2 linked regions of the Xenopus tropicalis genome follow. The protein of the gene in region 1 purifies or fractionates together with the protein of each later gene. This does not show direct contact. Links are inferred from orthologs where the notes say so. Each region holds a gene or a part of one and is shown in the gene's direction. Other genes may lie near its edges. The genes, in order: stradb and cab39.

Region 1 (3,827 bases):
GCTAAAGGAGAACAGAAGGTATAATGGCTGGGGGTGCACCCCCAGTGTTTATAATTGCTTACCTCATACCTTAGGTCGGTGCTCACCTTTAATAAAAACTGCATTAGCCCTGTCCATCTTCACCATCTTCTTCAGCTTCCTCCATCTTGTCTTTGTTTCAGTCTGGGCAGTTTATGCACAGTAGACTGAAAGCTGAGTTTAAACACAAAAAATTAGCTTTTTCACTCTTCTGCACACACAACTGTCTGGGCCCAAAGAAAAGAAGACAGAAGAGAAGATTGCAGTGAATGAGCTTTTACAGAAATACCCCAGGCCAGAGCAGTTTTCTCATAACGGAAGCACCGACCCAGGGTATCACAAATAAGCGATTATAATCATTAGGGGTGCCTAGTGATTATACCTTTAGTTCTCCTTTACAATAATAATTTACAGTGTTCTTCATTTTTTTCTTCAGAATGAGGTGGTTATGTCATCATTTTTTCGGCATCCCAATATCATGGTTTCTTGGAAAATTTTCACCACAGGGGCTTTGCTTTGGATTGTCAGTCCTTTCATGGCTTACGGTAAGTAGCTGAACCAATGTGGAATTATGCTCCCTGTTAGTTAAAGGTCTAACTTCCTGAGTACCCATCATTCTTTGTATTAATGTAATGTAAAAAAACATCAGTCAAAGCACAAAAGCACATGCAAAAAAAAAATTATCCAACATTAAGTTTTAGGGACCTTTTGATCATTATTACTTGTATGGGCAGTCAGAACACCCATAACCAGCTCTGGACTACCTTCCATTGTAGTCAACAGTTGTATATGTCCTCTGTAACAAATAAAAGAATGCAAGCGAATAATGTTTAACCTTTTACTCCAAGGTTCAGCTAGTAGCCTCCTAAAGAACTATTACCCAGATGGAATGAATGAAGCTCTAATAGGAAGCATATTGTATGGAGCATTAAAAGCACTTCATTATCTGCACCAAAATAGTTATATCCACAGGTAAGTAAATCAGAAAAAAGTTGCTTGGAAAGATTGGATCACAATTTCTTGAGAAAGAAATCTCTTTTTTTGCTGATATTGCTGGAATTGTAGCAGGATCATTGTTAAGAAAGTCATGATCTAATGGGGGGTATTTAACACTTAATTGTCTGCAATGTGGGGTGTCAATCCAGTAATTCTGAAAAAGGACAGAATCTAGGAAACTTTTCAGTAAGTGGGACAAAAATAACTGGTCCTGCAAAATCCTTTTACAGACTTTCATACTTTTAGCAGTGAGAAGTAGTAGTTGGAAGGCAGAGAACATGTGCCAAAAAACAGGAAATGAGTGTGTGGGAGGAAGAGAGGACACTGGAAGAATGTGTGGGAGAGAGCATGGAGATGCTTGGAGAAGGGAGAAAAACATTGGATTTTGTTTAGTGGGGTGGGGGAGACTTACATTACTGCTGGGACAAAAGGAAACTGGGGACATTTTGGCATTTGTCGTTTAACTTTGCTATGAAAGAATAACCTGTACAAAAATACTTAATTTTAGTTTACTACTTAAAGCGAATTGGTTGCTTTAGAAACTTCAAAAACCTCACTGTGTTCAGCAAGTTAAACATGCATAAAATTCATCTTAGAATCTTTGTTTTCTTTCTTTGGTAAGAAATGTGAAGGCGAGCCATATCCTTATATCAGAAGAGGGTCTTGTAACTCTTTCTGGCCTAAGTCATTTGTACTGTATGGTGAAAAATGGAGAGAAAGCAAAGGTGGCATATGATTTCCCAAATTTCAGCACTGCAATGCTTCCTTGGTTTAGTCCTGAACTGCTAAGGCAGGTAAGTCAGCATAAAGTTAAACCCAGACAGGATTAGCTATGTGAAACTCATACTTTAATTGTCAAATTCCGTTCCTTAGGACCTCTATGGATACAATGTGAAGTCGGACATCTACAGTATTGGCATCACTGCCTGTGAATTAGCCACTGGGCGTGTACCATTTATGGACATGCACCGGACACAGGTATTACTCATCTCTGCTCTAAATATACTAGTCGTCATGTCTAGTTTTCAAAGCTCTCATTGAAATCTGCTATACGACTATAACTGAGAAATTGTTTGTAAGGATTTACTAAGGGCTCATTTGCTCTAGACTTGATTTTAGTGTCCGTAGTGTAATGTGCAAATGCTAAGATTAGTACTGTCCAAACAGGCCCAGGCTGGAATTCAAAATAGGCCCTTACAGTTTAAGGTTATAGAGGTCCAAACAGGAGCCCACCAGCCCACTAAATAGTGACTGTCTATGGCATCTTACATCAGCCCCTCTGGCATTTGCCAGAATCTACAGATTTCTAGTCTGAGCCTGGTCGCACAGGCTTCTATTTACAGTGAATTTTATTTCTTTTTTTATTTTTATTTAGTGAATTTGTTTTTGACTCCTGAGTGTGTGGCCCTGCATGTCCAGCTGTACCAAGCTTCAGCATACTGACAGGATTACATATATAGAACATCTGACTGCATTTCCAGTGACTTTTTAGCAAACTAACCTTTTTGTCACAAACTGACTTGAAATTGACCACAAATTATATTGACTGCAGTGTCCCCAAAGACAGTAGTCTGAACAATCTCTGTATGGACAAATACACTAATAACTTGACAAGTTACTTGTTTAAGCAGCTTTCATTTTTTTGTATTCTGTGGCTGAAGATTAGATACAAAATAGATTTTCATGGGATCTGAGGGAATATTGTGAGACAAGTAAAGGACAAGTAAACCCTACATTTTCCTACCATTTTTATAAAAGTTGGACACATTTCCCCTACCCGAACAATATCATTTGTATTGCATATATCCCCTCCATTCACCAGCACCATCACATTTTTCTAAAACAAATTGCAGCTTTTACCAGGCAGTTATTTTCACACAATTTCATCTGAAAACAGCACGTGTGCTGTAAAGTTCATGCAATAAAGAATGCAGGCTTACACAGGCAGAATTAATTTAATAAAAAGTTCTGCTTGGATTGAGCACTGTAATGGTTAAGCTGAGCTCAGGAGAGGAGGTTAGGAGAAAATACATGTCTCTGCACAGCAAGAGCAAAGTTTCTATGGAAACCAGCATTGCCATCTCTTCATTGGCTGCTAGACTATTAAGTAACCTGAGTTAAGAAGAACTGAGCATGCTCAGTTAGCCAGCAACAAAAGCAAATTTTTAAGGGAGGGGGCTTAGTGAGTTAGAGGAGGAGAAGGAATCCTAAGTGGGGAAGCTGCAGCCTTACTATTAACAGTTTAATAACTGGAGTGGCAGGTATTCAAAGATTTGTGGGGGGTTGCATGTCCTTTAATACTTTTCACTTTCAGATACTGTCAGATTTACAAACACGTACTGTACATTTAAAGATCAATATTTTTAAGAAAATGGAATCCAGATGAAAATATTGGTTTGTTGTTGTAAAGTGTTTGTGTAAGATACTCACAAGAATTTTTTTTATAATCTCAGTCTATGGGGATCGCTCTCTTGGAAGAGAAAATATTCTAATTTGTTTGGCCGTTGAAGACATTTTTTGCAAAAAATTGTAATTTGCTGAAAAAGCATTTTACTTTTCCCCAAGGAACATGGATTTTCCTAAATGTTAGTACAGGTATGGGATCTGTTATTTGTAAACTCGCTATCCCGAAAGCTCCGAATTATGTAAAGGCCGTCTCCCATAGACTCCATTTTAATGAAATAATTCATTTTTAAAATTGATTTCCTTTTTCTCTGTAATAATAAAACAGTACCTTGTACTTGATCCCAACTAAGATATAATTAAGCACAAATAAGCAAAAAGCTATTTTATTTTGGGGCCCTCGTCAGACT
Region 2 (3,827 bases), on another chromosome or scaffold:
CAGAGTAATTGAAAGTATTAACCATTCTTTTCTTTTATGCCTGCAGATAATAAACTCTGTTTGAGCCTTTCCAGCACTGGTTGCTAGCCTGAGACTGGGAACCATTCCACCATTAAGGTAAATATATGGGCTTAGTTGTCCATTCACTAAACAGGGCAAACAGTGAAACTGAAAGTACAGTACTTTCAATTTGAAATGAAGGGGGGCTTTTTTTAATGCAGAGCTCATTATCTCTTTTTTGACTATTTTTAGCTAAAAGAAAAGGCATAATGGATTTTTTAACAGTCTAACTAAACAGGAAAAATGCAAGAAGGAAATAATTTCCATTAGATGAATACAAATTGAAAAAAAAAAAAAAAAAAAAAAAATATATATATATATAAGTCAAGCTGTGTGTCCACACAGGACCAGCACACCATTTCACAGCAATTCTTCTATTTATTCATTGGAACGCACAGTGAATTTTATAGATTATAATATATATTATTATATAATATAGCAATATATTATATAATATAGCAATGGCTGCTCCCTTCCTGTCTTTATACACTGTTTCAGGTAAAAAAGGGAATATCCTCCATAACTGGACTTAGTTTAGTTCCATATGTATGGTGCCGTATATTTCCAGTTTCCTTCAATCAGTTGCTAAAGGTGGAATGCATAAGTACAAACCATGTGTTTAATTCAACCTTCTATTTATTACTTATTTATTACCAAGTCAACCACAAATTACACAACATTATTTCCTTTTAGCAATAAGGCAATAGAAGTTTCCCATTGTGCTTTCAGACTGAAATTATATGAAGTTCTTCTGTATATTCTCTCCTGTGCAGAAGTGTAGAGCAGTGTTACCTCACGAACCATGCCGTTTCCCTTTGGGAAGTCCCACAAGTCTCCTGCAGACATAGTGAAGAACCTGAAGGAAAGTATAGCTGTGCTAGAGAAGCAGGACATCTCTGATAAGAAGGCAGAGAAGGTACAGTACTGTTGCTTATGCTCCTTATATAACATGTAGATGTGACTGGTTCCTTATAAACGCTCTCTCCTTATTACATTGTATTCTTCATCCCTCCACTGATACGCCTGTGAATTACCTTTTGATGAATTACAATTCAGTGTCCTTCCCCAAATGCACTTTATTATTATATAATATATGTATAGCCACTGTGCCTCCCTGCTGCCCAATACGTTGTCACTGCCACTTCTGGTTTGGTACCCACCTTTACATAATTTCTCTATTCTCATTTTCTTTACTTCACTTCTTATCCCTCATCTCTCTCTTCCTAGTCCTCCCATTACTTGTTCTGTTAAGACTGTCATAAAGGCACCACCCAGACAGTTTTGCTGGGGAGCTTTGGGGCTCTAAAGGACTTTTGAAATGAACAGTTGGCAGCTATGCATTCTGCTTTTGTTACAGAGGAGAGAACACTGCCATGTGGGCTAACATATTTAGTTGATGGTGGACTTTTCTGTTTAGTTCTTTTTGCCAATTCCATACTTTTTGTATACCAAATACTTCTAAAAAGATTGGCCTAAATACCTAACTGAATCTAATTCCTAATTTTTAAATCTGAGCAAAATTTAAAAAAAATGCATTATCTCATAAGGAATTGTAGCCATCAGTTGTGTAAAGTTTTATTAAAATGAAATGACTTTAAGGACTGTGGTGCATGGGATGTTTTTTCTCCCACAGAAAAGAAAATGCACCTCTTTATCTGTCATTGCTCCTAATAGCTGCACTGGTGAATGGAAAGTGCCTCTTTCCACTGTCTCCGTTTGTATCAATTTTTCTAGCATTTCGGGTAAACTCATCTACCCGTATACACATCTGGGAGGAAGCCATGTATTGCAAGAGGACATAGGCTTTGGAGATTTGCCAAGTACACTGAGTAGCAACAGCTCTTTACCATGTCTCTTCTGGTTTCTGGTATCAGTTTATCATTAGCACTCGCCAGCAGATGAAGCAGTGTCACAACAATCGCCACTGCATGACATCATGGCTGCAGTGGTCCTTGGCCTCATCCCTAGAGCTTGCACTAATTTTTATTGTCTGCCACTTAAGCCACTGCCTTGGTTGCTAGAGTAAGTGGGATTCTATTAACAATATAAATTCTTAAGGGTGAAGACACACTGAGCTACTAGTAGCAGCTACTTTTTCATGGCTTCTAAACTCCAGAAAATACCCTGCCATAGACAATACTAAGAATTGCATATGCTAAAACACACATAGAGACAATTATCAGTAAATGATCAGCATTTTCTATTTTAGTAGCCACGATAAGTAGCTTCTACTAGTAGCTCCATGTGTCTTCACCCTAAGGGCTGTGGCACACGGGGAGAGTAGTCACCTCGAGAGGAAACTTCTGCGATTTCAGGGGAAATCGCGGCGCTGCGTATGCCATCCCACTCGCCGGTGGTATGGCATTTCGGGGAGATTAGTCGCCCGCGACAAGGGAGATTTGGCGACTAATGTCCCCGTGTGCCAGAGCCCTAAATGTAGAACTGCAGAGGCGTTAAATAATATAAAACCTGAGAGATAAAAAAAAAAGTTGCACATCACACAAATGACACCGTTTGAGTAATATGGAGTGTGAGTTATAAATAAATCATATAAATGTAGCTAAACACCTGATGACGACCCCATACATAAAGTTCACTCTCAGTCTGCTGACCACATCCCGTGATTCACACCCACTAATCACGCGTATATAGGCATTTCAGATTGCGGCAGGCTCATCTCTCTGTCATGCAACTCTTTGTTATGTGTGGGTCTGTGTGTGTGTGTGACAAACCCCTTCCCTTCTATGTCACATGGCTGATGAACCCAGAACTGATTAACCTGCTGTTTTGTACCCTGAAACACAATTACATTTACATCAGGCCAACAGATGAAGCTGTCTGCACTTTCCTTTACTGACTTGCCTCCCTTTAACTAACATGTCATATCATTACTTTTCGATAGCACTACCTAGGAGTGTATTTTTTCAGCGTTCCTGCAGCACTAGGTGTAGAAAATGAAAATTTTGATATGACATGTTACATTTATTTAAAGCTCTATTTGTGAATTTACCTTTAGTTCCCAGGCGTTACATTTCCCAGAATGTTTTAATAATGGGTTATGTTAGAAGCTTCTGGGAATTGTTGTTCTGAAACATGTTGTGACCCATTATCCAAGGGCAGCTATTCGCCTGCATTTTTTCTATACAATTGTTCTTACTACAGGGGAATACCGGTGCTGGCAGAAATTATACAACCTTGCTACCTATTTGTACAAGCTTTGCACCTAAGGAACTGCTATGGAGAGTGGTGTTTATAGCACTGTTTGGCTGGCTATGGCCTTGACAGTGCCATGCCCCTGCAGTGCTAGGTCATGCTCACTCCTTCGGGATAAGGAGTGACGGTGGTTATTGAGATGAGGTTAAAATTGCACCCTGAGCCAGTCTGCATTGAATAAATCCATAATGAACATAATAAATGGAATTATAGTGGTACTTTAAGAAAAATTGCTGATTCAGTAAGGTGTGTGAGAGAGAGGTTCTGATATAAGGTTACCGGATGTAACAGCAAGCCTCCCATCTCCTCAATGACTAATCCCTTTTGTATTCTGGTTGGGAAGAGCCTGCTTGCCTTTATAAATTGCCTTTTCTGTGCTGTCTCATTTTGCAGCTGAGAGGAGGGTTGTTACCCCACACATACAGCTCCCCTGCCCTCCAAACCAATTCCCTTAGACGCCCTACTCCAGGCTCAAATGTCTCACTTGCTGCATACTCTGTCGACGACTTACACATCAGCAGCAGAAGCAAAGATGCAAAGAAACTGGCATGGCC

Evidence for each region.
Region 2: the proteins of stradb (region 1) and cab39 purify together in Homo sapiens (affinity purification with mass spectrometry; 3 studies listed by BioGRID and IntAct, counting the BioPlex papers as one, with this or other methods). This does not show direct contact. The link is inferred for Xenopus tropicalis from reciprocal best matches to the Homo sapiens genes STRADB and CAB39.

The regions. Positions count from the first base shown.
Region 1 is NC_030685.2:53,862,760-53,866,586, forward strand, and holds part of stradb (STE20-related kinase adapter protein beta), read left to right. Parts: intron 1-454; coding exon 455-563; intron 564-866; coding exon 867-990; intron 991-1,636; coding exon 1,637-1,808; intron 1,809-1,887; coding exon 1,888-1,992; intron 1,993-3,827. UniProt on the Homo sapiens protein: Pseudokinase which, in complex with CAB39/MO25 (CAB39/MO25alpha or CAB39L/MO25beta), binds to and activates STK11/LKB1.
Region 2 is NC_030681.2:128,008,625-128,012,451, reverse strand, and holds part of cab39 (calcium-binding protein 39), read left to right. Parts: intron 1-46; 5' UTR 47-117; intron 118-833; 5' UTR 834-862; coding exon 863-976; intron 977-3,666; coding exon 3,667-3,827. UniProt on the Homo sapiens protein: Component of a complex that binds and activates STK11/LKB1. In the complex, required to stabilize the interaction between CAB39/MO25 (CAB39/MO25alpha or CAB39L/MO25beta) and STK11/LKB1.